Linked DNA regions of Mus musculus: all the other regions are reported to be linked to region 1. The links are microRNA targets in miRTarBase. Many come from high-throughput screens and were not tested one by one. Region 1 holds a microRNA gene; each other region holds the end of a gene's coding sequence.
Evidence for each region. Region 1 holds the annotated microRNA mmu-miR-466f-3p (CAUACACACACACAUACACAC, at 1,775-1,795, shown strand). A microRNA usually pairs through its seed, bases 2 to 8, with sites in the 3' UTR of a target mRNA and lowers its output. Matches are read on the target gene's strand: a 7mer-m8 pairs with bases 2 to 8, a 7mer-A1 pairs with bases 2 to 7 and ends in A, and an 8mer does both.

Region 1 (4,219 bases):
TGTTCATGTGTATATGTGTATATGAATATACATATACATACACACAAACATACATGCATGCATGGACACACACACACATGAATGGCACTCATTGATCCATTTGTATGATATATAATTTAGAGCTTTAAATATTATGTAGTACTGGGTCAGTAATAGTCTCACTCATAAGGTAAAAACACTTGCCAGAGTCAGGTGAAGAGAGAGTTCAAATACAAAATTTACTTCATGAAGAGATAGAAATCAGACTGGGATGTTTCTTATGTATGTGCATGTGTGCATATATGTATGTGTGCATGTTAATATATGCATATAAATATACACATATAAACTAACCAACACAACATGCACACACACAGAGACACACACAAATACACACACACACACACAAACTCAAAATTGATACTCATCTATCCATTTGAATGATATGTAACTTAATGTTTTAGAGCTATGTATAAATGGGTCAAGGAGAAGTCTCACTCACTAGGTGAAACACTTGCCAGAGTCAGGAGGATCAGGAGTTCAAATTCATGCTTAATTTCACAACGATTTAGAGATCAGTATGCAATTGATGTGATGCACACCAAGAATGTGCATGTGTTAGAGTTGTGTGCATATTCACTTCTCTATATGAATATGCATATACACACATGCACACACAGTAATGCCACTCATATATCCTTTGAAATGATATGTGCCATAGAGCTTTAGCGCTTATGCGGTAGTGATCCAGAGCTATGTCTCAGTTAGGAGGTGAAACGCTTGCCAGAGTCTGGAGGATCTGGAGTTCAAATTCATGTTTAACTTCATGATGAGTTAGAGTTCATCATGCGATTCATGTGATGCCCAACAAGAATGTGCATGTGTGTATAGCTGTGTGCATATTCACTTCTCTATATGAATATGCACATACACGCAAGCACACACAGGAATGGCACTCATATATCCTTTTGAATGGTATGTGACTTAGAACTTTAGAGCTTATGCAGTACTGATCAAGAGCTATGTCTCAGTTAGGAGGTTAAGTACTCTTGCCAGAGTCAGGAGGATGAGGAGTTCAAATTCATATTAAATTCATGATGAGGTAGCAATCAGTCTGGGATTCATGTGATGTCCCCCGTTTATGTGCATGTGTGCAGAAGTGTATGCATGTACATGTGTTTATGTGAATATACATATACATACACACATATACACACACATGCAAACATACATGTAGGAATGGTACTCATCGATGCATTTTAATGATATGTGACTTAGACCTTTGGAGATTATGTATGACAGGGCCAGTGTCAATTCTCACACACCTGGTGAAAACCCTTGTTAGAGTCAGGAGGTATAGGAGTTGAAAATCATGCTTAACTTCATGAGGAGTAAGAGATCATCCTGGATTCATGTGATGCCCCCTATATATGTGCATGTGTGTATACTTGTGTGTGCATGTATATGTGTCTATATGAATATACATATACATACACACCCATATACACACGCATGCACGGAAACACAAAAACATAAACATAAACACAGGAATGGCACTCATTGATCCATTTGAATGATATGTGACTTAGAGTCTTATAGATTATGCAGTAGTGTGTCAATGAACGGTCTCACTCACCAGGTGAAAGTTGTTGACAGAGTCAGGAGGATCAGGAGTTCATATTCATGCTCAATTTCAGTTAGTGATCATCCAGACATTCATGTTATGCCCCTCATGTATGTGCATGTGTGTTTACGTGTGTGTGCATGTGCATGTGTGTATATGAATATATGTATACATACACACACACATACACACGCACGCAACACACACACACACACACACACACGACACTCATTTATTCATTTGAATGATATGTGACTTAGAGTTTTAGAGATTATGTAGTACTGGGCCAGTGAGTGCTCTCACTCACAAGGTGGAAATCTTGCCAGAGTCAGGAGGATCAGGAGTCGAAATTCATTCTCAACTTCATGTTGAGTCCGGGATCAGCTTCTGATTCATGTGATGCCCCCAGTGTATGTGCCTGTGTGTATATGTATGTGTGCATGTGCATGTGTGTATATGAGTATACATATACATACGCACATACCCATACAAGCATGCACACAAACCCAAAACTGCCACTCATCGATCTATTTGAATGATATGTGTCTTAGAGTCTTAGAGATTCTGTATGACTGGGCCAGGGAGAGGATTCACTCACCAAGTAAAGACCCTTGCCAGAGTCAAGATAATCAGGAGTTCAAGGTCATGGTAAAGGCATGATGAGTTAGAGGTCATCCTGGCATTCATGTGATTGCCCCTATGTATGTGTGTATGTGTTGATGTGTGTGTACATGTACATGTGTGAATATGATATACATACATGCACACATAAGACACATATGAGCACATAGACACACAGGAATGGCACTCACTCATCAATCTATGTGACTGAGAGCTTTGGAGATTATGTGTGACTAGGTCAGGGAGAGTTATCACCCATCATATTAAAAATGCTTGTTAGAATCAGGAGGTCAGGAGGTCAAATTCATGCTTTATTTCATGATGACTTAGAAATCTGCCTGGGATTCATGTGATGCCCCCATGTATGTGTACATGCGTGTACCTGTGTGTGGATTGTGTATATGAATATACATATCTACACACGCATAGACATGTACACAGACACACAAACATGAATGCAACTCATCGATCCATTTGAATGACGTGTGACTAAGAGTTTTAAGATTCTGCAGTACTGAATAGGGAGAGGTCTCACTCAGCAGGTGAAATCCCTTGCCAGAGTCAGGTGGTCCTGGAGTACAAATTCATGTTTAACTTCATGATGAGTTAGAGTTCAGCATGCGACTCATGTGATGTCCATCAAGAATGTGCATGTGTGTATAGTTGTGTGCATATTCACTTCTCTATATGAATATGCATATACACGCATGCACGCACAGGAATGCCACTCATATATCCTTTTGAATGGTATGTGACTTAGAGCTTTAGAGCTTATGCAGTACTGGGCCAGAGCTATGGCTCAGTTAGGAGGTGAGTACTCTTGCCAGAGTCAGGAGGATGAGGAGTTCAAAATCATATTTAATTCATGATGAGTAGAGATCAGCATGCGATTCATGTGATGCCCTCCAAGAATGTGCATGTGTGTATAGCTGTGTGCATATTCACTTCTCTACATGAATATGCACATAGCTGTATGCACACATACTCACAGGAATGGCCAGAACTATGTCTCAGTTAGGAGGTGAATATTGTTGCCAGAGGGAGGAGAATATGGAGTTCAAATTCATGTTTAACTTCATGATGAGTTAGAGAACAGCCTGGAATTTCTGTGATTGTCCCCGTGTATGTGTATATGTGTATAGGTACGTGTGCATGTAAATGTGGGTATATGAACATGCATATATATATATATATATATATGTGTATATATATATATATATATACATACATACATACACATATACACACACATATGGACACATACATGTGCACACAAACACACATGGTAGTCATCCATTTGATTTATGCATGCTTAGAGTTTCATTGAGTGTATATTCATGGGATAGCAAAACATCTCACTTACCAGATGAAAACTGCTTGCCAGAGTTAGGAGTCTCAGGAGTGCAAATTCATGCTTAACTTCATGAGCAGTTAGAGATCATCCTGGAATAATGTGATGGCCCCTATGCATGTGCCTTTGTGCATAAGTGCGTGCATGTATATGTGTGTATATTTTATGCATATACATACACACACCTATACACACATGCACACAGACATGCGAGAATGGCCCTCACGGATCCATTTGAATGATATGTGACCTACTGCTTTGGAGGTTATGTATGACTGGGCCAGGGTGAGGTCTCACAAACCACGGGAAAACCCTTGGTAGAGTCGGGAAGATCAGGAGTGCAAGTTCATGGTAAAGGCATGATGAGTTAGAGGTCATCCTGGCATTCATGTGATTGCCCCTATGAATGTGTGTATGTGTTGATGTGTGTGTACATGTACATGTGTGAATATGATATACATATACATACACGCACACATAAGACACATATGAGCACACAGACACATGGGAATGGCACTCATCAATCCATTTGAGTGATAAGTGACTTAGAGTGAAAATGCTTGCTAGAGTTAAGAGTATCAGGAGTTCAAATTCATACTTATCCTCATGAGAGATCAGCCTGTGATTCCTCCATGTATGTGCAT
Region 2 (4,215 bases), not on the chromosome of region 1:
CGTGTGTGCCATCTGGGGACCCCTGAGCGGATTCTTACGGAACGGGAAGTGTGTAGTAAGGATCTCCCCGTGCTCTCCCAGCTGGGCCAGGGCTGCTCTAGGTAGTGCTGAGTCCTGCTTCATCCCCAGGTACATTACGGTCCATTGGTAAAAGAGGGAGGTGTGCATTTTACTTGCCTTACCTCCTGCCTGTGGTTCGTCTCAGCATCAGAGGTGCCTGTGGGGTTGAGAGCACTAGCACTAACTGCAGGTGGCCTTTTGTTGAGGATGGAGAAGCATTTAAGATTCTTCAGGCTCATTGGAGAAGCCCGCAGACACACTTTTCGGTGTTTGGAGGTTATTGGCTCCTCAGACCATTTCCTGTTTGATGGGTGCTGCTTACAGATACACGGGGTATTATAAAAGGGGAGGAAAAGAAACTGGACCTCCAAAGGGTCACTGTCATAGAATATTAAGTTGACATTCAGGAAAGTTGATTAGAAAACTTACAAGAACTGAAGAGCATTTGTCCCTGCCCTTAGCTGAAAATTGCATGTCTCTAGGTACACCCAGTCCTACGCCAGGATCGGGAGATAGGCAGTTCTGATTGGCTTCTCATATCTCTTTACAGGTGGGGCCTTTGTTGAACACCATGATTAAAGGCCGTTACAACTAACCTGCCAGAGGTCAAGGCCTCCTGTCAGGTGACTGCTATCCTGTCCACATGCTTCGTTGATGAGGACAGGACACTCCAAGCACTAGTATTGCACGCTGCACTTAATGGACTGGACTCTTGCCATGGCCCTGGAGGCAGGTGTCTGAGGCAAGGCAGGGTAGTTGACTCCACTCCCATTTGGAAAGGTTTCTCACCCTTGCCTCTTGAGCCCCAGAACCTTCCCTCTGCCCCCCTGAAGTCCTGCATTTAGTGTGTGGAGTCCCAGCTTCTGGTTGTAATCATGTCTGTGTTAGTCTGTTAACCTCAGGGTGTGTGTGTGTGTGTACATGTGTGCATATGCATGTGTGTATACACACACATGCATGTATCTGTTCCTTGTTCCCTCTTCCTGGGTCAGGATGTCACTTCTGGCTCTCAGCTCCTGTCTCCTGAAGCCTCAGTGCCTCAGCCTGGGAGGAGAGATGCTCCTGTGTCCCTACAACATCTGGGCTGTGGTGCCAGAATGACTCTGCACATGAGTCTGCCTTCTGCCAGTTTTTGCAGCATAGTCAGGCTACAAACCAGGTGGCAATAACTGCTGGGGCCCTAATGGGGACATTGAGAAGGAGGCTTATCTTTGGGAGGTAGCCTTCTAGTGGAAGAGGATTAGATAAGATTCCAGTTGAGAACTACATGCTTAAGCCATACATAGAAGGAAAACTTGGGGACCTGAAACCAGGATTGTGCATATGTCCAAATACAGGCATTTGCAGCCGTTCTCTTCAGTACCAGCTCCTGTCCCTGTGCTGCAATGAGGGATTCTAGCTCTGACTTTTTTGGGCTCGAGGGGTATGAACCTCTGCATGTGTGTGTACACATCTGCACACTTGTATGCATGTGTGATCACACTTGCCATCCTTCTTGCTTACTAAGGTTCTCAACTGCTAACATTGTCCAGTGTGGCAGTACAGCGTGAACCCCAGATACTGCCTGACTCAGCCTAGAGCTTTTACACTCGGATTTTAGCCATCCCGTCTTGGTCAGATCTTACTGCAGCCTACCTAAAGCTGACTGGCTCAAGCCTCCCAGTCCTGTGTCTTTCCCTGTCTGAACCACATCCCTGCTCCTGCTGAGCTTCCTGGCTGAGTAGATGAAATGGGGTCAGACTTAGGCAGCTAACTCAATACCTTTCATCCACCTCAGGGCAAGGGGAAAAAAAATGTCCTCTTGCCTCTTAGAGCCAGCGCCTCTGCCAGACCCAACAAAGCGTCGCATGTGAGCTGGAGTAGAGCTGGGAGAGCTTGGAGATAGAATTTACTTTTCTGTTGGTAGCTGTTTATGGGAGCCCTCCTCGGGGCTGCAGCTTATAGCTCTGTGTTACACAACACAGAGCGCAATCATTTGTATCTGTTAAGAGGGAATGGGGCCCCAGCAGCTTGGCAGAGTGGTGGCCCCGTGTCCACTTACCTCAAGTCCCTTCCTTCTCTGTCAACCTTTTTTCTCTAAAATTGGAGTTGGAAGTCTGATTTTATTCTTTTCTTTGCCACCTTTTAGTCCCCTTCCCTGTAGATTTGACCTCCCGTGTTCAAGCTGTGGGTCTTAGCCCTGAAGCTCAGCTTACAGCGCCCCATGGACTGAACAGATGCAGGCGAATGCTTGTGCACCCGTGTGCGTTTAGGGGCGGGAGCTCTAGCCCCCACTCTGGGCTCTGCAGTGTGGTTGCGCAGACTTGGTACCTTCTTGAGTATGGCTCTTTAAATACAGCCCGTGCTGGGCAGTGTGATCGCGGCAAACGCATGCCTCCATCTCTTTTGGGAACGAGGGATGCAGCAGAAGAGGGAGGCAGAGTGGTATTAGTTTGGCCACCGTGGCGGATTTTCATTCTCCGCAGATCTATGGTCCTGGCTCTGCCCTCAAAGGTGTCTGGGATGTGTGGCAGGGAGTCTGGATCTGCTCGGTTGACCCTTCAGTATAACTCTGCTCTCACAGGTCTGACCTAGGGTGGCTGAGGGCAGCGAGAGAGAAGGTGAGCTTAGGCACCATCACAGGATTGGCCCTGATGCTGGGATGATGTCATGGCTGTTCCTGGTCTTAGACACCTGATGTGTACCTGTTGTTTCTAGCTCTGTCCCTCACAGTGCTGCGTGGTAGTCAAGAGCAAACCTAATGCCATTTAGCTATAAACCCACTACTCCCTGCTCCTCCATTTCTTCCAAATGCTGTTGGTTCTCTACCTCACCTCAAGCCTTGTTCCCTAGAGAGTGTGCAGGTAGACTCAGGCAAGAGGGTGTGGAAGGGTGAAAGGCTTTGGGGGTTCAGCTAGAGACATGGAAAAGCTGCCTAGAAAGCCATCTTAACAAGCTAAGGGTTCTGGGAAGAAGCAGAAGAGTGAGCTTCGGCCCTGCGGGGGAAAGGGGTGCTGTAGGTCCTGTAGCTCCTCTCACCACACCTCTGCATGCTGAGAGGAAGCTCTGGTAACCCGATTCATATTCTGCTGGGCCACTTCCTCCTGGGGATGGCAAGCAGGGACTCACCTAGGCTAGGGTCTCAACCCTAGGGCTGTTGAGGCTCCAGTTGTACTTGCAGCAGAGCAGGCATCACTATTGTGTACCCATTCTAGCCAACAGCCTGGGAGTCAGACGTGCCAAGGAAGGTGGAGACCTGGGCTTGTCCAGGGGTCAGCCATCTTGCAGGCTCTCGTGTTTATACCAGCAGTACAGTGAAAACTACTGTTTTGTGAAGTCAAATATTTGCTGGGGGGTTAGAGTTATGGGGTGGAGGAGGGGCTGTTCTGGGCATCAGTTGAGCAGATGCCCAGGATGCCTGGGGGAGACCAGCTTCCCCTACAAATCAGAGCTCTAAATTACAAGGTTTTTACCAACGCGAACAGTTGGGGGAAGTCGTCTGCTCTCATTTGCGTAATGGTTTCTGTCACTGGTGATTAGACACAGGATGAAGGAAAAGAAATTTGACAATTAGGAATGAGCCATCATTAATCTGAATCTGTTAGGAGACAGAGAGGGGAAGGCTCCTTACTATTGGGCCAACCTAGTATGGGGAGACACTCCCTATTTCTGACCCCAGAATCTTGTGGGCCAGGTACCCTTTTGGAGTTCCCACAAGTGTGGGTGGAGTTTGTATGCCTTCATAGACTGGAGTCCAGGCCCAGCTTGAGGTGGGTTTGCAAACAGACATCTTTCTGCCTGAGCCCTCGCAGTTGAAGGTAGGTAGGCTGGTTACTGCGTGTGCTCAGTTACAGGAAGGATCTCTGTAGTAGTCAGCACTGTTGCGCCCCACCTGTGACAGGGATCTGTCACTTCGAAGCACTTGAGCTTGTGTGGGAAGCCTGAGCTTCATCAAACCCCAGACACTGGTGGAAGTTGGAAAGGAAACCGTATGAAGAGTAGCAGAGCCTAGGTATGTGCAAGGAGGGGTGTGAGGAAGAGCTGGTCCAGCACAGGCTGTCTGGGAGGAGACTCGGCCTCTCAGCAGCGTTGTCTTACTCTGGATCAGCGAGCCATTGCTGTGGGGAACACTGAGGTTCCTGGCTCAGTGACCCAGTGATGTGGCTATTGAAAAAT
Region 3 (4,185 bases), not on the chromosome of region 1:
TGGTCTCCGCCCAACCCCACACTCTTTCTTCACTGGGTCTCTGTCTCTTCACTCTGCAGGGCTCAGACCTTCCCTTTGCTCCTGGTTTGAACCTTGGTTGGGTATAGGGATAGGGTCACCCCTGGTCCGTCTTTGTTCTGACACTCTCTTTTCTTACTGCTGGCCTCTTCCTTCTCACCACAGAATGGGCCTCTCCCCCTCAAGTACCGTGTCCAGCCAGCCTGCAAGCGGCTCACCCTGCCCACGGTGCCAACCCCCTCAGAAGGCACCAACACCAGCGGGGCATCAGAGTGTGAGTCAGTCAGCGACAAGGCTCCCAGCCCTGCCACCCTTCCGGCCACCTCCTCCTCCTTGCCCAGCCCTGCGACCCCATCCCATGGCTCTCCCAGCTCCCACGGCCCCCCAGCTACCCATCCTACTTCCCCCACTCCACCTTCAACTGCCGCTGGGACCACCACAGCTACCAATGGGGGCACTTCGAACTGCCTGCAAACGCCATCCTCCACCAGCAGGGGGCGCAAGATGACTGTTAATGGCGCTCCTTGCCCCCCTTGAGGAAAGGGACCCTCTCCTTCCGCAGCCATCTTTTCCCTCCTTTTTACTTTTTCTGGGCCCCCTTTTCCACTTTTGACTTTCCCTGGTTCCTCCCATTTTCAGAGTGGGAGGTGGGTTTTATAAATAAATCTATATATATATAAATATATATATGTACATAGGAAAAACCAAATATACATACTTATTTTCTATGGACCAACCAGATTAATTTAAATGCCACAGGAAACTCGTGTGTGTGTGTGTGTGTGTGTGTATGTGTGTGTATGGGTGGGGGTGTCTAGGTCTAGGGGGTCTTTGTAGTTCACTCTGCTCTTCTTGGGGGGTGTATCTGGTGGTCTTAAGGGGCCATTGGAAGTATTAATGTCCTTCCCTATGTCCCTTCTGCTTTCCAGGGCAGAGGGCGTGTTGGGTCCCCTAGCCCTAGCTGACTAGTGGGTCCATCTTGGCTGTTCCCCATACCTGTCCAAACCCCCACCCCCACCCCCCCGTTGTTGAATGTTCAGAGTTGCTGAGACAGTCAGTGCCTTTCACAAATGCAGTCTGTGTCCTCTGGCAGTGAGGACCAAGTGGCTGTGAAGAAGGCATTTCCCTCACCTCCTCAGACAGTGGAAGCCCCCCCCCCAACCCTCCATCCCTACCCTCCTGTGGGAGACCTGGCCCTATAAAGTCTATATGTGACTTTGGCATGGTGAACACTTCATTTTCTCCTGTCCTACCCCAACCCAAGAACGCAATCTAGCAAGACTGGAGGTGACACTCACTGGGGGCCTAGAGTAGAGGGTGGCCCCAGACAAGCACAGACTCCAGTTCTGCCAAAAGCCAACAGCCCTCCAGTCCACTGCCTCACCCCCCAGCTGAGGCCAGGCAGGGATAGGACAGAGGCATCTAGAAGCACAAGAAAATAAAAGAATGAGCTGACCCCAACTCTACCTGGTGGACCACCTATTAGGGGCAGACCTTGCTCTCGCCTGCTCTTCCTCAAGTGTACATAGATTTGGGGGGAGGGTGGGGGGGAAAGAGGACAGGGTGTTGGCTTAGTGTGTGAGGTTCTGAGCCCATGGGTCTGTTTGCACCACGTCCTGAGTCTGAGGTCCTGTGACTGTACCCTCCTGTCCTAGGTCATTTATATCTCTTGGCTTTGTAATAAATGCTGTGTACACTCTCAAGCCTGTGGTTCTTTGGGACAGAGGGAGGGGGAGGAAGAGGAGGAGGACGGTGAGGACGGTGGTATGCTCCCCAACCTTACAGTGCTAACTGGAGTGGATCTGAACTACCCTGCTTTGGTCACCAGACACCCTCCGCCTCCACAGATCATACTCTAGCAGAAGACCCATGAGCCTTGCCAGTGACCACAGAAACAGTTAGTTAGAGGGCAGGCCTCAGTGTTTATTGACAGCTTTACCGGATGCTGGACCTGGCTCTCAGCTGCCCAACAGGAGAATACAGGTTTTTCAGGGTACAATTGCTAACAAGATGGGGTCCTTGGAGGTTCCCTTCCATGTGTGGCTCAGCATTACTGCCTGGAGTCACAGTACCCCCTCAGAGTGGGGAACCTACTTCTGCTTTCTGTACCTGCTCACTCTTGTGGGTACCGTCACAGTAAGGGGGCCGCTGAGTGGCCTTGCAGGTACATAGGGCCACTGTGCGTGTCTCTTGGGCCTTGAACTTGAGTGGAGAAAGGCCAGTACGCTGGAAGAAGTGGGAGCCATCACAGAAGGGCTGGTGAGAGAGAGACAGAAAAAGGTTAGGGTGGGGAGTGGAGCATTCTCGTTTCCCCGAGCCCTGCAATGTGGGGGTCACAGAAAGGCTGTCATGAAGAGAATACTGTCTCTGTATAATGTTGCAAGCATTTCTCATTGGTCACCTTTGGGAGATCCAGAGACCAGGACAATTTGCAAGAACTGGGCCTCAAGTAGAGGCAATGCTACTACCCCAAGACACACACACACACAGACACACACACACACACACAATTTGCAAGAACTGGGCCTCAAGTAGAGGCAATGCTACTACCCCCAGACACACACACACACACACACACACACGAAGTCACACAACAACTTGTGGGGGCATGGTTTTCTCCTTTCACCATGTGGGCTCTGGGGATCACACAGGTCAGCAAGTAACTTTATCCACTGAGCACTTCCCAGCCAGGTTCTCATGTAACCCAGACCTTGAACACCAATCCTGCCTCTACCTTCCAAGGGCTAGGACAATGGATGTATGTCGCTACACCCTGTTTATTGCGTGTTGGGGATGGATAGATTCCAGGGCTTCCACACACTGCAGACAAAGGGTCTATCCACTGGGTTAGGTTCATAGCCTCACCTCAGTTTTTGTTTGTTTTGGTTTTCTTTTTTAACGGCTAGGTGAGGTTGAGTCCCCATTGGCCCATGAAAGCAACATTCTTTGCAATGTTCCTCAGGGAGGGAGAGAGCCCAGTGCGCAGTGCCTTTGTAGGGTGGGGTCAGTCTTGCCTGTAAGCAAGGGGGTGTCTACAACAGCCTGCCTAGAGTACCACTATGAATGTGAGCACCACATCTCACAGGAGAACCCTTCAAAGGATGGTGAAGACAGAGGCCCAAGGAGGGGAGAGGCCTTGTCAGGGGCAGAGTGTGCGGAGAGATGAACTAGTGAAAACTAGAAAACCAGCACCCTGCCTAAAGGGCATGGGCATGTACCCACAATCCTCTGGCTGGCATGCCCTTGAAACTGCCCCACCCTCTGGAATATCTGTTCAAAGGCCACAAAGGAAGCCTCCAGAGCTGGATTTATGGTCTCAACCACAGCATGGGAAACAGGACAGAGTTCTCCAGAATGAAAGGGAGAAGCTCCGGCTACAGTGAAGGGCTCCTGTACAGCTGGGATGGCATCGGATGGCAGCAGGCAAGCAGGAAAAGTCACATCCAAGGTGAAAAGAGACCTGGGAGGGGACATCAGGGAAGACTGAACAGAATCCTCCCAGCTGTGAGGACCAAGGCCTGGCACATGGGCTGCTTGGAAGGAGCAGGGCGGGCAGCCTTCGAGGAGACTGAGTCAGCCACAGAGCTGTGGCCCTTCTGTACCTCCTAGGCTCCTGGGGAGGGACATGGACATACACTGACAATGGCCATCCTGATAGTGGTGTCCCTGACCTGTGAGCTGGTTCCTGCCATCGAGCCCCATCCCCCAATTGTATGTATCTCACCTATATACAGAAAGAAGGGAAATGTGGACGGACTGAAAGTCCCCAGGATAGACCATGCTGACCCCAAGCACGTGGAGAGGAGGAGATGGATGTTTGCGTGTCACACTGCCAGGCCTAACCGTTAGCGTCAGAGATCAGGCTGTGTCACATCTAAAGGAAAAGCTACAGGAGTAACTCACCTGATTCTTGCTTCGGCCACATACACACCACCTGTAGGTTTTCCCGGCAACCAGCTCCAATCTGATGGGTGTCTTCTGTGCCACCACTGGCTTGGCTGGGTCTTTGGGGAACCATCGGGCCTATGATCAGGGTGGATGAGTGACTCGGGATGATCCCAAGTCTTGGATATACTTTTAGTTGGCGGGGGGTTCTGTAACTCTTCTTCAAACTCTGGGGCTTGAAATCAGGTGGCTGTCCTCCCCTCAGTGGGAGACCTGGTTCCT
Region 4 (4,000 bases), not on the chromosome of region 1:
CATCTATAACCTCATTAGCAATTACTGTAACTGTGACAATTGAGAACATAATGTAACCAAGTGGCCTATTAAGAAACAGAGCTAATTTTGTTTTCATTTGATTCAATTATTTGCTACTGTAGACCAATTAGGAAAAAATGAAAACTAACATTCTACCTTCTTGGAAGTTCGCCAAGTCTTTGGGTTTCTAGAAATTTCTGGAAATTAAGAACCTAGACCTTTTGGGTACAAAATATTCTTCTAAGGCCTTCCTTTTGTTTTGAGTTAAAAGAGAGAAGTCAGGTGGATTCCTAGGGATTTGAAAAGTCGAGGCTTTATTTTTCCTGTCCCTGTGAGTGGCAGATTTCTGAAAGTAAAGGCAGCAACCTGGTGTGGTGTGGTGTGGTGTGGTGTGGTGTGGTGTGGTGTGGTGTGGTGTGAATGCTAAGGTTTGGGAGCCTGCAGGAGGAGCCTCCAATTTCCCCCTGTGCCCCAGACCAACAAAGTCAAGTGAATCAACTGTTCCCTTTCTGGAAAGTCAAACCAAGCTGACAGAGTTGTGGAATGTTGGATGAAGCAGCAGCTAGGACACTGGTACCCCAATAGTGACACCATGTGGTCAGAAGGAGCACCAGCAGCACAAAAACAATGAGTGGAACTTCCTCCAGTGCAGTTGTCAGTCTGGCAGAGTGGGGTGAGGTAGCAACCACAACCACGACCAGGTCATAGAGCATTGAGGACTGAGCAAGTAGTGCTCTGGACCCTGAAACAGGTGTGCCTTGCTGAGTTTTCTAGGAGATGAGATTTAGATCACGTAGCTCAACACGACAACATAGTTTCAGTACAATGAGAGCTCTTGGGGCTGGACCCTGAGCCCACATGCTTGTGTTTTCATGCAGTTCATAAGCATAGCTTGAAGGGAATTTCTGTATAAAACATTTGGTGCAACAGCATTCCCATAGTGACCTGTCACATGAGGTGAGGTGTGATCTCCCACTTGTGACATCATTTCAGTGCTCGGAGTTTTTAACCAGAGACCGTCTTGCGTGAGGACACCCAGCAAGAGACAGAAGGAACCAACTCACAAGAGGTCTTCAGGGACAGTGGGAAGCTTTAGCTCTATTGTGAAGGTGATAAGAGACAATAAGGGGGTGAATCGGGAGACTGGCAGGATATGGCAGGCAGTCTAACCCTGGTCCCGTGAAAGACTGCCTAAAAGGGCTACAGATAAGAATGTGAACGGGGAGTCAAGTCCATGATCATTGCTTCCTTGTGTGAGGGAGCGACAGAATCGTTTATCCAACCAGAAAGCTTAACTTTAATTCTGAATCATACTCAGCAGGGCCTGCCACATAGTAGGCACTCAATAGATGACTGTTGGTTTTGAATGGAGCTTATTCAAAAGCTATAAAAGAATATAGGAGCTGGAGAGATGGTTCAGCAGTTAAGGACATCCATTGCTCTTGCAGAGGACCTGGGTTCAGTTCCTAGCTCACAACTATCTGTCACTCAGTTCCAGAAGTCCCAGTGCTCTCTTCTGGCTTCTGTGGGCATTAGGCATACATGTGGTGCACATACATACATGCAGGCAGAACACAGAAAATAAACCTAAAAAGAATGTTTTAAATTAGAAAATAAAGGGCCAAGGATGGCCCCAGGGGTAGGAATGTGTGTGTGCATAAACCTGGTGATCCGAGTTCAGTTCCCACAGCGGGAAAAGAGAGCAACCAGGAAAAGTTGTCCTATAACCTCCACACATATGCAGAGATACAATGCTTCTGTTTGTTTGTTTAATATGATAAAAAACAAACTTCCAGAGTCACTGGGCAACTTCTGTCCCTTAAGTGACATAAGAGAGCAGGTTGTCTCCCAATCACATGCACGTCTTCTGTGTGTGCCATCTGGCCCAGAAGTACCCACTGGTGTCTCAGCCATTCCTCAGATCTAGTCACAGCACCCATAGCAGCTCCACCAGATGTGTGGGCCAGCTGCTATCTGTACACCCGTAGTAAGACATCATGAGCAACCAGCTGTGCTTCTGCCCTACCTGGCCAAGGAGTGAGAAGCTTGGCCGACTTCAAGCAGCTGGGCTTACACGCAGACCCCTTTCCTAAGAAGGTAGTAGCTAATCCATCACACACACACACACACACACACACACACACACACCGTGCCCACTGGTATTTATGATGACTGCGCTTGTGCTGGATATGGGAGTGCCCACATAAATGGTGGTGAACATCAAACATTCCAGAATATTTGAAAGTCCATGAGACTGACATGACATGTCCCCTCAACGGGGAATTAACACTGCAGTTTCTCTATTATGCATCAAGTGGGAAATTAATTCTGCATGCTATACTAACTACTGAGAAGATTGGTTTTTAAATTTTTAAAATGGGTGCCGGCTTTTGGCCTGAAATGAGGCAGATTGTGGCAGCAGGCATAGCATCCATCTGTCTGCTTTCTCCAACTAAGTCTAACCTCCTTCTTTTCTCTGTCTCCCAATAAGACTGACATACTATGGATAAATCAAGGGCATACTCCATTGATTAGATCACAAGCCATTCTAACACACACACACACACATACACACACACAGAAAGCTAGCAAGCTCCCAACAATGAGCCTTCAGGGAACCTTTCAGATTCAAACCCTAACAAGATCTAAAAAACATGGAGGTCCTATTTTTTTTTTATTTTATGCATTGACATGAAGACACAGTCAGTTCGTCACACTCATTGTGAGAGATGCTCGATTCTAGGAGGCCTGGATTCTCTCAACCTATCAGATTACTCATTTGGTTTTGAAAACAATGAGTGCTTTGTGTGCTTTGTTTTGTTTTGTTGGCAGAAGGAAAGTAGACCAAGGGCTGTTTTTGGATTGCTTTCTAAATGCACCCCAACCCAATGGTGTGAGCTGTCTGTGAGTGTCAGACACCAGAAGTAGGAAGAGTGCATTAGCTGACATTAACTAGGGCGTTTTCTTCAAAGAACTGCATACTGCCCCGCCCCAGGCCGGGCCCCAAAGTTGTACTTATGTGTCCCCAAGAGGAATGTATTTAAGCAGTAAGTGGCCAATATTTCTCCGTGCCAATGGAGGACCCAGGATTCGGTGAAAAGTGAGAACGTTTGTCATTCAGCCCATTCCTTCCCCAAGCCATGCGCATTGTCGCTCGCCCTTTCTCATTGAGTCTGGGTTAGAGAAAATTGCTTTTATTGGTGGTGAACCTAAATTAGGCTGAAAGCTCCTCTGTCAGAGGACACAGGGTTCAGACTGGAAAGCCAGGAAGGAAGCTTTGGAGCTGGGCAGTGGATGCAGGATTCTCTCCTTATTTGGATGTAAGTGCTGCACTCTATAAGTACTTATTTTGGGACAAGGCTTAAGCACCGAATGGGACAGGCAGCCCCAGGGATCAGGCTGCGCTCTCTATTTGAAGCACGGGTTTCTCAGGATCTTCCTTGGTAGGTTGAGGAGGTTCTGGCTCCAGGGCAGTCTCGAGCTCGGACTCCATTTCAGGCTGAGCTGCAGGCTGGCCTTCTGATGGGCCTTCAGAGCTCCGGACAGGCCCTACGCGTGGCGGCTTGACTGGTGTGGGCTGTGCTGCTTTACGACTGGAAAGAGCCCTTTTCAGGCTTTGAACTTTCTGTAAACCAGTGCGGCGCAGCCGCTGAGCCCTGGACTCCACTGGCTCCTCTTCAGAACTCTCTCCAACTTCATCCTCTGGCTGATCTGGGCCCAGCACCAACTGGTCCTCCGGACCCAAGAGCTCTGGGACTTTCTGGAAGGCGCGGGCTGGAATTTCAGTCTCCTCCTAAATGTGATGACACAGCTTTTGATTCTCTGATTTGACCCTGGCACTTAGCCAGGACCAGCCTGAAACTCTCTTGCCCGCCCGCCAAGGGAAGCTACTCCACCCTTTGCATCTGCACTAGGAATTGGGGCCAAAATAGAGGAATGGGAAGATGGGGGATGGGGAGGATGGAGGAGCAGAGAGATGAGCAAAGAGGGGGAAAGTGGA
Region 5 (4,186 bases), not on the chromosome of region 1:
CTGTACTGCAAGCTTGACGCCACCCCTGACTTTTTTTCTGTGGGTGCTTAGTAACTGAACCCGGGTCCTCAATGCGTTCACAGTAATCACTCCTAATGCGCCATCCTATCTTCCTGGCCTGTTGTTTAGAACTGTTGTTCTCATTTTGATGAAGGCTTTTGCAGTGTAGCTCAGTCTAGCCCAGAACTCTATAGCACAGACTGACCTTACGTTTGCAATGTTCCTGACGCAGACCCTCAAGTGCAGGGATGTCAGGCCTAAGCCGTTATACCTTCCTGTATACTGTAAAGTGGTAGATTCTGCATGCAGTTAATGGCCATTGAGATGGGCCACCGGGTAGCACACCTTCCCTAACTTCTTCCCTCGTCCTGTCACGTGAAATGGAGTCTGAAAGTCGGGCATGCGCAGAGAAGCGCTCCTCGACCCTCTGTGGAGTCCCGTGCTGATGGGTGATGGGATGACTTGTGCTTTCATGTTCCACAGAAAGGAATCTGAACCCGAAAGCTGCCTGTCTGAAAAGAAGGGAGGAAGAGAAGGTGTCCTCAGAGCCTCCCCCACTCTCCTTGGCTGGCCCACACCCTGGGATGGGAGACGCAGCGAATCACATGGGACAGATGTGAAAAGGTACGCTGGGTGAGCTTTCCGCCATTGCTGCTACCCCACAGTTCCGCTGCTACCCCACAGTTCCGCTGCTACCCCACAGTTCCGCTGCTACCCCATAGTTCCCTGTGGCACATGAGCCACAAACAACAGGTTTTCCCCAGATTAACCAATTATTTTTAGTTCTTAAAAGGGGGGGGGGGACACTTTAAAAAATCATAATAAAAAAATTTTCTATCACTATATTAATTGTTTTTTTCTCCTTTTCTTTTTTCAGGTCCAAGTTGCTACCTTGCTTCATTAAACAAGAGACCACTTCCTTAACAGCTGTATTACCCTAAACCCACATAAACACTGCTCCTTAACCCCGTTTTTTTTTGTAATATAAGACAAGTCTGAGTAGTTATGAATCGCAGACGCAAGAGGTTTCAGCATTCCCAATTATCAAAAAACAGAAAAACAAACAAAAAAATGAATGAAAGAAAGAAAGAAAGAAAAAAATGCAACTTGAGGGACGACTTCTTTAACATATCACTCTGAATGTGCGAAGCGGTATGTACAGGCTGAGACACAGCCCAGAGACTGAATGGCAATCCTCCCACACTGTGGAGCAATGCATTTGTGCCTAAACTTCTTTTGGAAAAAAAAAATATAATTAATTTGTAAGTCTGAAAAAAATATTTAATTTAAAAAAAAATTGTAAACTTGCAATAATGAAAAAGTGTACTTCTGAAGAAAACGACATGAACGTTTTTGTTGGTATTCACGTCAGCTAGTGTTTCTAATTACCGGATATTGAATAGGGGAAGCCCGGCTGCCCTCGTAACAAAACCAGCAAACGTCCTGATGGCAACGAAGTGATGACATTAGCCATTCCTTAGGGTAGGAGGGACAGATGGATGTTATAGACCTATGACAAATATATATATAAATATATATATAAATATATATTAAAAATTTAGTGACTATGGTAAGCTTTTGTTGATTTGTTTCAGACTTTTTTCTCCTGTAAAAAAATAGTACTGATTAACTTTTTTAAAAGAAAGATTTTACTGTAAATATGGATTTTTTTTTTTGTCTGATTTTTGTCCCTTCCCCCGGTTTGTTATCGTAACCTGTAGTGCCAACTCTGCTTCCGGAGGGGCAGTGCAGGACGAAATGCTGACCCTGAAGTTGCTTCTCATTCACAAATAGTAAAAAGTTGTTTCTCCAGTCTTTTGGGAACACAGGACTTAAAAGTCACATCATGTGTAGGAATTACATGCAGCATTGCCCGGGCGAGGCAAAAAGCGTTTGTCTGGCTTGTGGCGCTGCCCTTGTTACCCTCCCCTGGGATTTTCAGAGGTACACGGTTAGAATGCTACAATGTTACCACTGTGCCTTCCAATGTTTATATCATCGGAAACATAACATAATCAAAGTGGCTGTGATTTAACAAAAAAAACGATTCAAGTGTTACCTACCTGTGTAGCCGAAGTAGTGTGCAGTGACCGAGACGTTTCTGAATACATGGTCAGATTTTTTTTGGAAAAAATACAAAAATTAAAAAAAAAAAAAAAAAAGAAAAAAAGAAAAAAAAACTAAAAAAGAAAGTCAAGTTCAAAAACCGTCAAATGAGAAAATTGCAAGGAGTGTGACAGAGCTGATTGATTTTTGTTGCTTTCTTGATTTTTTTTTCAAAATGGGTTTACTAAAAAGTAGATGACTTACCTGCCTCCTCCTTCGTCTGAAAAAAAAAAAAAATGCCAACCAATCATGCAGCATTATAACAAGCCTTATAAGCCCTAAAGCATTAAGTTGCACTTTTGTGAGGAGGGGTAACGCAGTATTCTCTCTGGCCAGTATGAGTGAAGTTTATACTTAACATTTGATAGAAACATAGATCAAACTACGGCACAGCAACTCATCAGATAGCTAGCGTTGACTCTGGGCACAATTGAACCAATTCCCATCGTAAGTCTTTCCAACAATGGACTTTGGTGTGTAGTGCAGTGAACACATAGGACTCCTACGTAAGCATTTGTCAGCATCCTTTTGTCTCTAACTCGGTTCTGTTTTGACAGCCACACAATCTTGGCATGTATTAAGGAAAAAAAAAATCCCTGTTGAAGTAGTTTTTCCACCTATCAGCACTGAGTAAATGCCATAACTCCGCGGAAATGGTCTAAATACCCCATTTGTTGTCCTGAACTACCAGTTACATAGTGACGAAACACATCTGTAAATTTTATGCAACCAATGGCAAACCTATCATTATTTTGAAACTGTGTATGTAAAAGTTATATTTTTACATGTAGACTCTTGTTATTATGTGTTTTAATACATTGTATCAGTTTTTTGTTTTTTTTTAAACTGTGTGGTTTTAAAAAGTCATTTAAATGAAATAGTGAGCTACAAGAATCTGAAATTTATGTTCATTTCTGAAAATGTAAGAACAAATAAGATAGTTACCACGTGGTCACCTTTTACAAACCCATGAACATTTTGATTAGCTGTGTGCATGTGTGTGCGTGTGTGCTCTTGCGCGTGTGTGTGTGTGTGTGTGTGTGTGTATGTGTGTGTGTTGAAAATTGTAAATATGTTCAGTAGCGATAAAACTAAAATGCTTTGATTTGTTGAGAAGTTCCTAAAATGTGGAGGTGGATTGAAAATGTAGGGGAATAGCAGGAATCAAATCTCATAAAAAGTTCTTCGGGGACTTTGCTGTGATGCGGTGGCACAAAGGTGCTCCAAGAAGGGCAAAGAAGAAAGACAGTAACTTCCCCTCCTCCCTGAACGATGGAAAACATGTGTACGTGGTCTCTCACCATGTTAAAGATTTTCTTTCCGTGATACATTCTGCACTCATTTTGTATAGTCTGCCAAGGCGGGTATCCCTAGGAACAATATTATTATATAGGAAACAGGTATCGTCCGATCACATTCAGGAGAAGCGTATAGAAAAGAATATGGTGTTTACTCTTTAGGGAACTGGAAATCCTCCCCGCATTGATGGATATCTTCAGAGTGGCACTTTTGATACATGTTATCATAAAGGTGCTTACTAAAGCAGAATCAAAGTTTTTCAACTCTGTAAACAAAGCAAAAAATTAAATTTTTAAATTAAATCATTTGAGATTTTTTTTTTCAATTGGTGCTTTTATATTTTGTTCTCACTCGGACAGAGAAAAAGCTGCAATTTCATGTTCTCACCAGCTTTGATGTATTCATTACTTGGTAATGTAATATGGCTATTGTCAAATTCCTTTTGGAAATAAGCAAAAGACTCCCCAAAGGCCAGCAGCAGCTGCTGGCTACTTTCTGCTTGGTGCGGAAACCTGATCTGACCCTCTTTGTAGTAATCAGGTGTATCTCCAGTTTTAAAAAGAAGGAGAAAGGAAATGTGGCCGTTTTAACGTGTTGGTTTTGTTTTGTTTTGTTTTGTTTTGTTTTCCTTGTTGTTATTTTGTAATTATCAAACCCAGGTAAGATATTGGTATTCCTGCACTGGATTTTTGAAAGAAACTTAGCAGAAGTCAGGATTAAAATACTACACAAACATTTCATAAGTGTTCATCCTATACTAGACATACACGAAGGCGGTGAG
Region 6 (4,224 bases), not on the chromosome of region 1:
CCTGTCTGAGGCACATTGACACCCCTCAGGCATCTCGGAGAGACATGGCAGGCACTCAGTAAATAGCCTCCATAATTACAGATCAAGGATTACCAGCTATGCCTTAGCTATATGCCTGACAAACACGTTTTAAAAAATCATTTCTTTTGTGTGTGCACATGCGCACGCACATGCCAGGGCGCCTGTGGAGAGGTCAGAGGACAATTTGCAGGAGTGGGTTTTTGCCTTTTATCATGTGGGCTCCAGGGTTTGAACTTGGACTTGGCAGCAAGCACTGTTACCCATCAGGCTATCCTGCCAGTCCATAAACCTGTTTTTATAATCATTTTTTAAACCCAGGGGTATTTACTATATGCCAGGAAGGAGGATGCTGGCTGTGTTGTTCTCTGATTATTTTTGCGGTGCTGGGGGTGGGGCCCAGAGCCGTGCTCCTGCACTCACAGGTACTTCTGCTGTCTCTCTAGGCCATCCCAGTTCCCTTCCCACACAACTACACAAAGGTGTGGGAGACTGTGCCAGGCCTTTGGTGCAGGACACACATCCCATCCTCCCAGCAGCTAGCTCCCCCTTACACCCCTCACAGAGAGGCTGAGGAGAAGGGGATTATATACATGGTATCTATTGCCTCATGGGTTTAAAGATTTTTTTTTTTTTTCTTTCAAGACAGGGTTTCTCAGTGTAGCCCTGGCTGTCTTGGAACTCACGCTGTAGACCAGGCTGGCCTCAAACTCAGAGATCTGCCTGCCTCTGCCTCTGCCTCTGCCTCTGCCTCTGCCTCTGCCTCTGCCTCTGCCTCTGCCTCCTGCCTCCTGCCTCCTGCCTCCTGCCTCTGCCTCTGCCATCTCCCGAGTGCTGAAATTAGAGGTGTGTACCACCACTGCCTGGGTTTAGAATAAATTCTTTTTCTTCAAGGTAATATTTTTATTGATTCTCTGGGAATTTCACATAATGCACCCCGATCACATTCACGTCCCAGTCCGTCCGTGTCAGTCACTTCACCCTTGTGACCTCCACCCCCCCTTAAATGTAACTGAGTACTTCCCATGCCACATCCCCCTCTCCCCAGAAGCTGTCAGTTGTGGAGAGCTAATAGTTTAGCATCCCTATCACAGTTGGTTTCTTTGGTTTTTCGAAACAGGGTTTCTCTGTAGACCAGGCTGGCTTCGAACTCACCGAGATCTCGTTCTCCCTAGCTCTGGGATTAAAGGCTCTGTGCCACCACTCCTGGCTCCTCCAATGTTACTTTCAATATGCTGACCAAAGAGATAAAGGGGCTCAGTGGCCTGGGAGGTTGGGCGGCTGTTACCATAGGCTCTATGGAGGAGTTAACCCACGGTAATAACTACTTGTAATTTTATCGTAGTTGGATTTAGTATGTCGTCAGTTTGTCACAGTGAGACCGACGGGTTACGTTTGTATTTGGTAACTCACCCTTCCACAGGATCCAAGGATGGTCCTCAGGTCCGAATTCAAAAAGCAGTGATGGGGGCTGGGGCCCACTCAGTGACAGAGAGCTTACTTATTAGCATGACTTCATGTGACCTCAGCCTGGCTAAGCAGGTCGAAGCGGCCCAGCTCTCAGGTCAGTAGGAAAACACAAAACTGCGCTAGGTGTGACGGACACCGGCCTTTAATCCCAGTCCTTTGGGGGAGGTTGGGGTGGGGTGGAGGTAGAAGAATTTCTGTGAGTTGGAGGCTAGCCTGGTCTATATTGTGAGTTCTGGGGAGCGGGGCAGAGGGGAAGGAAAACAAAACCCAGAGAAGAAAGAAGGAGAGAAAAAGAAAGAGACAATAATGACAAAAAAAAAAAAAAAAAAAAAAGCAAGATCCAATTTTCAATATGCCTGGCTGGCAGAGCTAAGGTTACAGGTATGAGATTGTCCTGACCCTAAAACCATATCCCGGAAGTGCAATTTTTCTCTATAGTTACTTCCAGTGAGAGGAACCAGGAAGGGATGGAGTCTGGGCTATCCCAGGACAGCTTCCAGTGGGAGTGGCCCATGCTTCTTCCATGGCCTGCTTTCCTTCGTGGGCTCCAGTCCTCTTGCCTGAGACCACGGGAGCCTCTGCAGGGTGTGTGTGGCTCCTGCTTCTACGGCTAGGGGCACCCAGGCTGGGCCCGTCTCTCGGAGCACATCAAACAGCGCTCCTCCATCTCGGTCCAGGAGAAGAAACTGGAAGACTGGGCTTTTCCCTCAGCATCCTTCTGGGAGGAGCAGCAGCCAAGGCCCTGAGCAGGGATCCAGGAGGGCCCAGCCAGCCCCCAGAGTCATCCCCAGAGGGACCTGGAAGGGAAATCCTGCTACAAGAACACAGCCAGGCGATGTGACGAACACTTTTATTTACAAATATAATTAAAAGCCCTGACAGTTAATCATGCTCTTCCTTGGGACCTGAAAAATGTTTTCTTTTTTTAAGTGCATGCAAAAGGAGCGGAGCCTTTTTCTCGTCATCATTTTTTATTGTAAGAAAATACACAGTTTGAAAGGATGGATAATGCAATATTTATGACCACAGATAGGGGGCGTGGGGAAGGGAAGGAGAAATAAACAGAGATGATTGGCAGAGAAGACATTGAACTCCAGAGACTGGAGTGGGGAGTGGGCGTGGGGGGCAGGGGAGGAACAGGAGGAGGAAGTAAAAAAATTCTGATCAGAGAAACAGTTAAAATACAATATGAAAATAAGCAATTCCTCTCCTTAGATTCCCTCTATACACAAAATACATGATTTGCCAAAGCCCAATTTTGTGCTACTGGGATTCTGTGAGCTCCTTTAAGTGTCCTCGCACCATCTGCAACCGCAGAGGATGCTGGGATACAGTAGACCAGGCTGACGGCAAGGCAAACTCTTGCCGGCAGGTTCTTAAAAACCACAAGATCTCTTCACCCCTCCCACCCACCCCGGCCCCAAAATAGTAATAATATGTTACCACTTCGTATGTACATCACAATTAGTTCCTGTAAAATGTATCAAATTTTCAATCTTTAATAAAACTTTGTTTTTTTTTTAATTCCTGATGAATAAATACCAAAAAAATAAAATAAAATAAAGTTATGCAGCAGCTGGTTAAGGTGTAAGGCTGCGGATTTTGTGTCTCTCTCCCCCTTGGCATGTATTGTTTATTTAGGTTTCTTTAGGTATTTTCTCTTTTTTTTGCTTTACTTTCACTGGTTGGTGACAACGAGGGATTGCTCAAAGCAACATCCATCTGTGTTCCATCGCCGTTTGTTGGTTGACAGACCCTAAAACCACCTCCAAGGTTTTCAGCAGGACATCCGGAACCGCGTCGTCGCCGGCACCGCAATGCAGGTGGTGGACGGCAGGGGCGGCCGGGTCTCGGCCAGCACTGAAAGTTGACATGGGGGGGAGGAAAGGGCCCCTGATGGAGTAAGAATCAACAGGCACTAGTGCGACACGGTGTCAGGGAGAGAGAGAGAGGGAGAGAGAGAGGTGAGGGGAGAGAGAGAGGGAGGGGTAGAGAGAGGGAGGAGGCAGGGAGGGAGAGAGAGGGGCAGAGAGAGGGAGGGAGATAAGGGGGAGGAGAGAGAGGGAGGAAGAGAGAAAGAAAGAGAGAGAGAGAGAGAGAGAGAGAGAGAGAGAGAGAGAGCAGCGCCCGTTAAGATGGGGAATGTAGTTTCGCAGGGTCTGAATTTTTTTGTTTTCTTTTTTTCATTTTTTTTTTGTAAATGGCAAAAAAATTTAATCTCATCTATAGTCCTCCTTAGGAAAATCTAATGTCACCAAATTCCCAAAGCCCATTCTGAGGCTCTCCATGTCAAAAGTCTCGGTCTCTCGCTCTTGTCTCTCCAGGAGAGTCTTGATCCTCTCACTGCGTTCCTTCTGCAGGGCAGCCAGCTCCTCTTCAATCTGCACAAGCACACAAGTGGCTCTCAGTGCTGATGCCCGGCCCACAGCCACGAGGAATCCCCCCTCCACCCCCTACACACACCACACACACACACACACACACACACACACACACACACACACACACACACACACACACACACCACACACACACCACACACACACACACCACACACACCACACACCACACCCCACACACACACACACACACACACACACACACACGCCTGCGCGCGTATGCAAGTGCATGGAGCCCTGAGAGCCACACTGCTGTCCTCCTCAGTCCGTATTCGCCCTGTGTTCTGAGACAGGGTGCTACTGAACTTGGATCTTGGGTTTCAGCTAGACTGGCTAT
Region 7 (4,188 bases), not on the chromosome of region 1:
GTGGAAGTGGTTAGGGAGCTACAGGGAGGGGACTGGGGGGCTCCAAGAGCACAGAGGAAAAGCATCACAGGTTCTGGCCACGGGAGAGTGCTCTCTGGAGGGAGACCAGAGGTTTGAGGAGGAGCTCCCAGCAAGAACAGCAATGCTTTGGGGGAACTCTTGAGAGCTGGATTTCCTGAGAGCGAGCAGGTGATCAAGGTTGACGTAGGCTGAGGCAGAGGCAGAGGCAAGTAAGGCCTGTCCTATCCTATCCACCAGAGAAGAGCCATCTCTAACATGGGAAGGCTTAACTTGATGTTGAGAACATGGCTCGAAGCCAGGTCTCCACTGAAGTCCCTCCAATTCCCCCTTCTACCAACTATGGCCTTGGACAAGATTACATTGTATTTCTCAATCCATTGTTATAAATAAAGCTAATGCCAGCAGGGGTGACTTCTTTCAGTGGTGGTAGGATTAATGAGAAAATGCACGGGGACAGCTTGGCACACAGCCACCAGAAGCACAGTGCTCTTATTTCTATTCTCAAAGGTCAGTCTGGGGCCTGTGTACAGAATACAGTAGGGAAGGCTGATCAGAAATACTCTTACAACGTACAAAGCACAACAAAACAAAATACAGAAAGTACACAGACCCACAGCTAGCCCAAGCGAGGCAGAGCTCTGGAAAGTTCTTGACCCAACATCATAGTAATCTTAAGTGACAGTCACACAAAGGGTTCTGGGATGCGTAAAATGTCTACCCTCAGAAGGCGCAGCTGTCCTAGACATGTGGACAATAAAAATTCCATCCAATGGACATTGAGAAGAGACACCCAATGACCACAGGAAGATCTTCACTGCGACCCTCCTCAGTGATAGGGATAAACTTGAAGTTATTCCAGTAGATAACCTGTAGCATAGGTCTCCAGAACAGCAGGACCCTTCTAATGCAGAGCTCTGTGAATCCTCTCCCCTCCATGCACAGCTGTGAGTCCCCTCCCCTCCATGCACACAGCTCAGTGAGTGGGATGCCAGTTTTCTGAAAAGCTGCTCGCTCAGTGATTGCTAGATACATCCCTGCCTTCTTCCCACAGGGAATGTCTAGAGAACAGTCAGGGCATACTCACACTCACCATCCTTAAGTGGTACCCACTCAGTTCTTTAAATCCACTCAGGGTGAACTAAATCAGTTTTTAAAATCAAATTCTGTCTCACACTGCACAACAGGCTGTATGAGTGAGAAATGGCCAGGCAAGCAGTGTCTGTTCAGTTATTGTGACACAGTGGGGTATAAAGAAGACACCCTAGGGTCCCTTTGTACACAGGACACTTCACCACAATGAAACACCCACCACTACATGCTACCCACACCACCTCAAGCCCTAACCTGGAAGGGAATGCACCCCTCCAGAGAAAGTCCAGTGTCCGGTAAGACACTCCCACCCCCAAGTCACAGAAGCAAGCGGCCAGCCTTTCTGCACATACTAAGTTGCTTTTATTAATCCAGAACGGCAGGCATGCTACAGGTACTGTACAGCATGGACATTTAATTCATTACAAAATGGCTTCAAAACCATTCAAAAAAATGAACTTGGAATAAGCATCGAACAGAACAGCAACACCACAACTGTTAGGGAGACATTCAAAGTATTCACAAAAAAAAAAAAAGAAAAGAAAATGTTATAGTTAGCATTTTAATAAACCAGAGAAAACCGGAGACAGTTTTACAATCGCTTCATGTCAACTACGATGGCACTGAAGGAACAGGTCTCAGCTTTATACAGCATTTTACAACATCGGCATGCCTAGGTTTTCTTGTTTTTAAAGGTCACTACCTACTTGTATGTAATATGCATACATAAAAGCGGCAGCTGGGGTTTTTTTTTTTCTTTTTTTCTTTTTCATTTAAGAGTAATCTAATATACAGGATTTTTTTTGGCCCTTAAGGGTTTAGACCTCTTCATTTAAAATGCTTTCTGGACAGTCTGCTACCAAACACATTTTGTTATAGGTGACATTAAAACTACATACAAATCTATCTATGTAACATCACAGCAAAACATGGCGAACAGAAAGTACAGCATCAAAAAGGAGGGAGAAAGCTAAAGTCACTGAGAATTTTGGCACATAAAAGTTTTGCACACGGTCAGTCCATGTTCTAAGAGCACAGGGCAGTTGACTAGGAGGTCAAGGGGGAAACGGGGCAGTTCCCACGGCTGCTCAGACGGCTGCTCAGACCCTCTCGCTAATGTTCAAGTCTTGTTTTACAGAATGGCTTTTAAAGCAAGTTTTGTTAATGCTACTGATCCTTAATGCGAATGTCAATGTCCATTTGGTGGCATCTGGGTTTTATACAGAAACAAACAAACGAACGAACGAACGTACGCCAAAAAAAAAAAAAAAAGGAAACAAAAAAATATATACACATTTTATATATAAACTTAAAAACCTTGTACAAATGAGTTGTTATATATAAGATGCTTACGCTAAGGTTGGGGGGGACTTTACACAGTTTCAAAAAAAAGGGAAAACATATTTAAAATTGGACGGACATACAGGTACAGCAAGCAACCTCTAAAGCAATAAATACTACTGGTCCAACAGTGTTGATTCCATTCATTGTTGAGTGGTGTCCCCTCCCCCCCAAAAGAACAACACCATGGAACAAGGTATATTAACACATTTTAACCCTTTGTTTCTGTACATTTAAACAATAACAAGTAACATCAAGGTAAAAGTTGTTTCACACTGGGAGGAAAAAAAAAAGAAAGAAAAAAAGAAAGAAAGAAACGGCACTGCATTCCTTGTGCCCTCGTGGTTTAAATACCAAGGTGTAAAGTGATTGGTTCGCAAGCTCGTATTTAATACAAATAACACAGAACCAACTCCTTCTGGAGGGTGCTTCAAAATTGCTTCTCTCTCTTTTTTTTCTTTTTGTTTTTTAAATCAGTCTTTTAAAACTAAGCTATCCGAACTACATAACAGTTATGTATATATAATATATTTTTTAAACGCTACAAAGACTTTAAACAGCTGTTGATAAAAATTTTGGTAGAATCATGAGGTTTTTCTCATCTACATATTTAAAAGGAGAAATTGAAATAAGAATGGGTCAAATATTGACCAATGAACTCCATAAACATTAACTCATGTAGCCACGGCGGCACAAAATTAAAGAGTACAAAACAAAAGCTTTCCAAGCGGGGAAGGGCGAACCAAGAACCAGAAGGAAACACTTCAATCAAGCAGGGGCATGGAGGACGAGGAGGCGGAGCTATTCTAAAGACTTGGTCACCAGAGACAGAGGCTGGGGTTGCGTTCCAGCCAGCGAGTTGTGGGAATGTAAGGAAGAAGTTGATGGTTGTGCGAGCGATGAGGAAGGGACCATGGACGGCTGCAGAGCGGCAGGTGGCAGGTCCAGAGCCCCATTGGGACAGAGGGCAGAGGCCTTGCCGTGGGCAGCTTCGGCCAACAGGAGCGCGGGTGGCGGAGGCATCATGGACAGGTGGGCCAGAGGATCAGGCTTCAGGGACAGCGAGAGCGGCTGGGTCTGCTCAGTCTGTGACTTGGCGTCTTGGGGAGGGGAGCCTAGCAGATGCGGTGAGGGGGGAGGCGAGTCTAGTAAGCTTCCATCTGAAGAGGGTGGGCTGAGGCAGCTGCCTTCACCTTGTATGTAGCGAACGCACTTTTTTTTTCTCCTAGAAACAGGGGGAGAGAGTTGTCTGTGAATAAAGGGCAAAGACGCCAGGGGAGAGAGTTATCTAATGCTCACGGCAAGTTGATGTCACCTAAGGGATGTCCCCCTGCAAGTCATGGCCCGAGGTCACGGAGCAATTAAAAGCAGTGACTTCGGTGGGCTGTGAGGCTCCCAGGTCCACTCTGATTTGCCTAGCTACACCCTCCCTCCCATCACAGGACCAGCCCAGGGCCTCATTGAGCAGACTGATGGAAGTGACCTGCAGAGAGTGGTACACATTCACTGGGAAGTGGGCTTGTCTATATGACGACTAACACAGTTTATCTCCCTCTGGGCTTAGATTCTCTTCCTTTTCCCATCACATCTTGCCCGCCCTCCCAATGATCCACCCCAACCCCTCGGTCCCCAGTGATGCCTCAGTGTATTTAAAAGAAAAACAGCTCCTTCCCCAGTGGCCTCTTATCAATATGAAACCCTCAGAATGCTGACTGTTGAGCCCATATAGCTGAAGGC

Region 2: miRTarBase lists Hif1an as a target of mmu-miR-466f-3p. Seed matches in the 3' UTR shown: 8mer at 999-1,006.
Region 3: miRTarBase lists Pcgf2 as a target of mmu-miR-466f-3p. Seed matches in the 3' UTR shown: 7mer-m8 at 804-810 and 7mer-m8 at 814-820.
Region 4: miRTarBase lists Cavin3 as a target of mmu-miR-466f-3p. The part of its 3' UTR that is shown has no 7-base or 8-base seed match.
Region 5: the mRNA of Tcf4 is a reported target of mmu-miR-466f-3p. Seed matches in the 3' UTR shown: 7mer-m8 at 2,866-2,872 and 7mer-m8 at 3,148-3,154.
Region 6: miRTarBase lists Taok3 as a target of mmu-miR-466f-3p. Seed matches in the 3' UTR shown: 8mer at 2,712-2,719 and 7mer-m8 at 2,473-2,479.
Region 7: miRTarBase lists Tcf7l2 as a target of mmu-miR-466f-3p. Seed matches in the 3' UTR shown: 8mer at 2,398-2,405.

Annotation. Positions count from the first base shown.
Region 1 is chr2:10,470,233-10,474,451 of GRCm38, forward strand. It overlaps Mir466f-3 (microRNA 466f-3), which reads left to right and starts at 1,721; the gene lies at 1,721-1,814. All of the region lies in intron 10 of Sfmbt2 (Scm-like with four mbt domains 2), which reads left to right. It overlaps Mir669d-2 (microRNA 669d-2), which reads left to right and starts at 1,412; the gene lies at 1,412-1,497. Mir297a-2 (microRNA 297a-2) reads left to right here and starts at 2,022; the gene lies at 2,022-2,111. It also overlaps Mir466o, Mir467c, Mir466b-1 and Mir669a-3.
Region 2 is chr19:44,570,504-44,574,718 of GRCm38, forward strand. Hif1an (hypoxia-inducible factor 1, alpha subunit inhibitor) reads left to right here. Exons shown (of 8, transcript NM_176958.3): 8 at 611-4,215. The coding sequence ends at 655. Among named protein-coding and RNA genes, the nearest start is that of Hif1an, 9.8 kb to the left of the region's middle.
Region 3 is chr11:97,686,357-97,690,541 of GRCm38, reverse strand. Pcgf2 (polycomb group ring finger 2) reads left to right here. Exons shown (of 10, transcript NM_001163308.1): 10 at 184-1,719. The coding sequence ends at 555. It overlaps Cisd3 (CDGSH iron sulfur domain 3), which reads right to left. Exons shown (of 3, transcript NM_001085500.3): 2 at 3,922-4,041; 3 at 1,917-2,274. The coding sequence ends at 2,095. Among named protein-coding and RNA genes, the nearest start is that of Cisd3, 2.5 kb to the right of the region's middle.
Region 4 is chr7:105,477,427-105,481,426 of GRCm38, forward strand. It overlaps Cavin3 (caveolae associated 3), which reads right to left. Exons shown (of 2, transcript NM_028444.1): 2 at 3,190-3,793. The coding sequence ends at 3,395. Among named protein-coding and RNA genes, the nearest start is that of Cavin3, 2.8 kb to the right of the region's middle.
Region 5 is chr18:69,682,200-69,686,385 of GRCm38, forward strand. Tcf4 (transcription factor 4) reads left to right here. Exons shown (of 20, transcript NM_013685.2): 19 at 484-624; 20 at 878-4,186. The coding sequence ends at 620. Among named protein-coding and RNA genes, the nearest start is that of Gm31439, 30 kb to the left of the region's middle.
Region 6 is chr5:117,273,318-117,277,541 of GRCm38, reverse strand. Taok3 (TAO kinase 3) reads right to left here. Exons shown (of 21, transcript NM_001199685.1): 21 at 2,441-3,869. The coding sequence ends at 3,708. Among named protein-coding and RNA genes, the nearest start is that of Pebp1, 12 kb to the left of the region's middle.
Region 7 is chr19:55,930,922-55,935,109 of GRCm38, reverse strand. It overlaps Tcf7l2 (transcription factor 7 like 2, T cell specific, HMG box), which reads right to left. Exons shown (of 15, transcript NM_001331146.1): 15 at 1,455-3,676. The coding sequence ends at 3,253. Among named protein-coding and RNA genes, the nearest start is that of Gm52391, 5.1 kb to the left of the region's middle.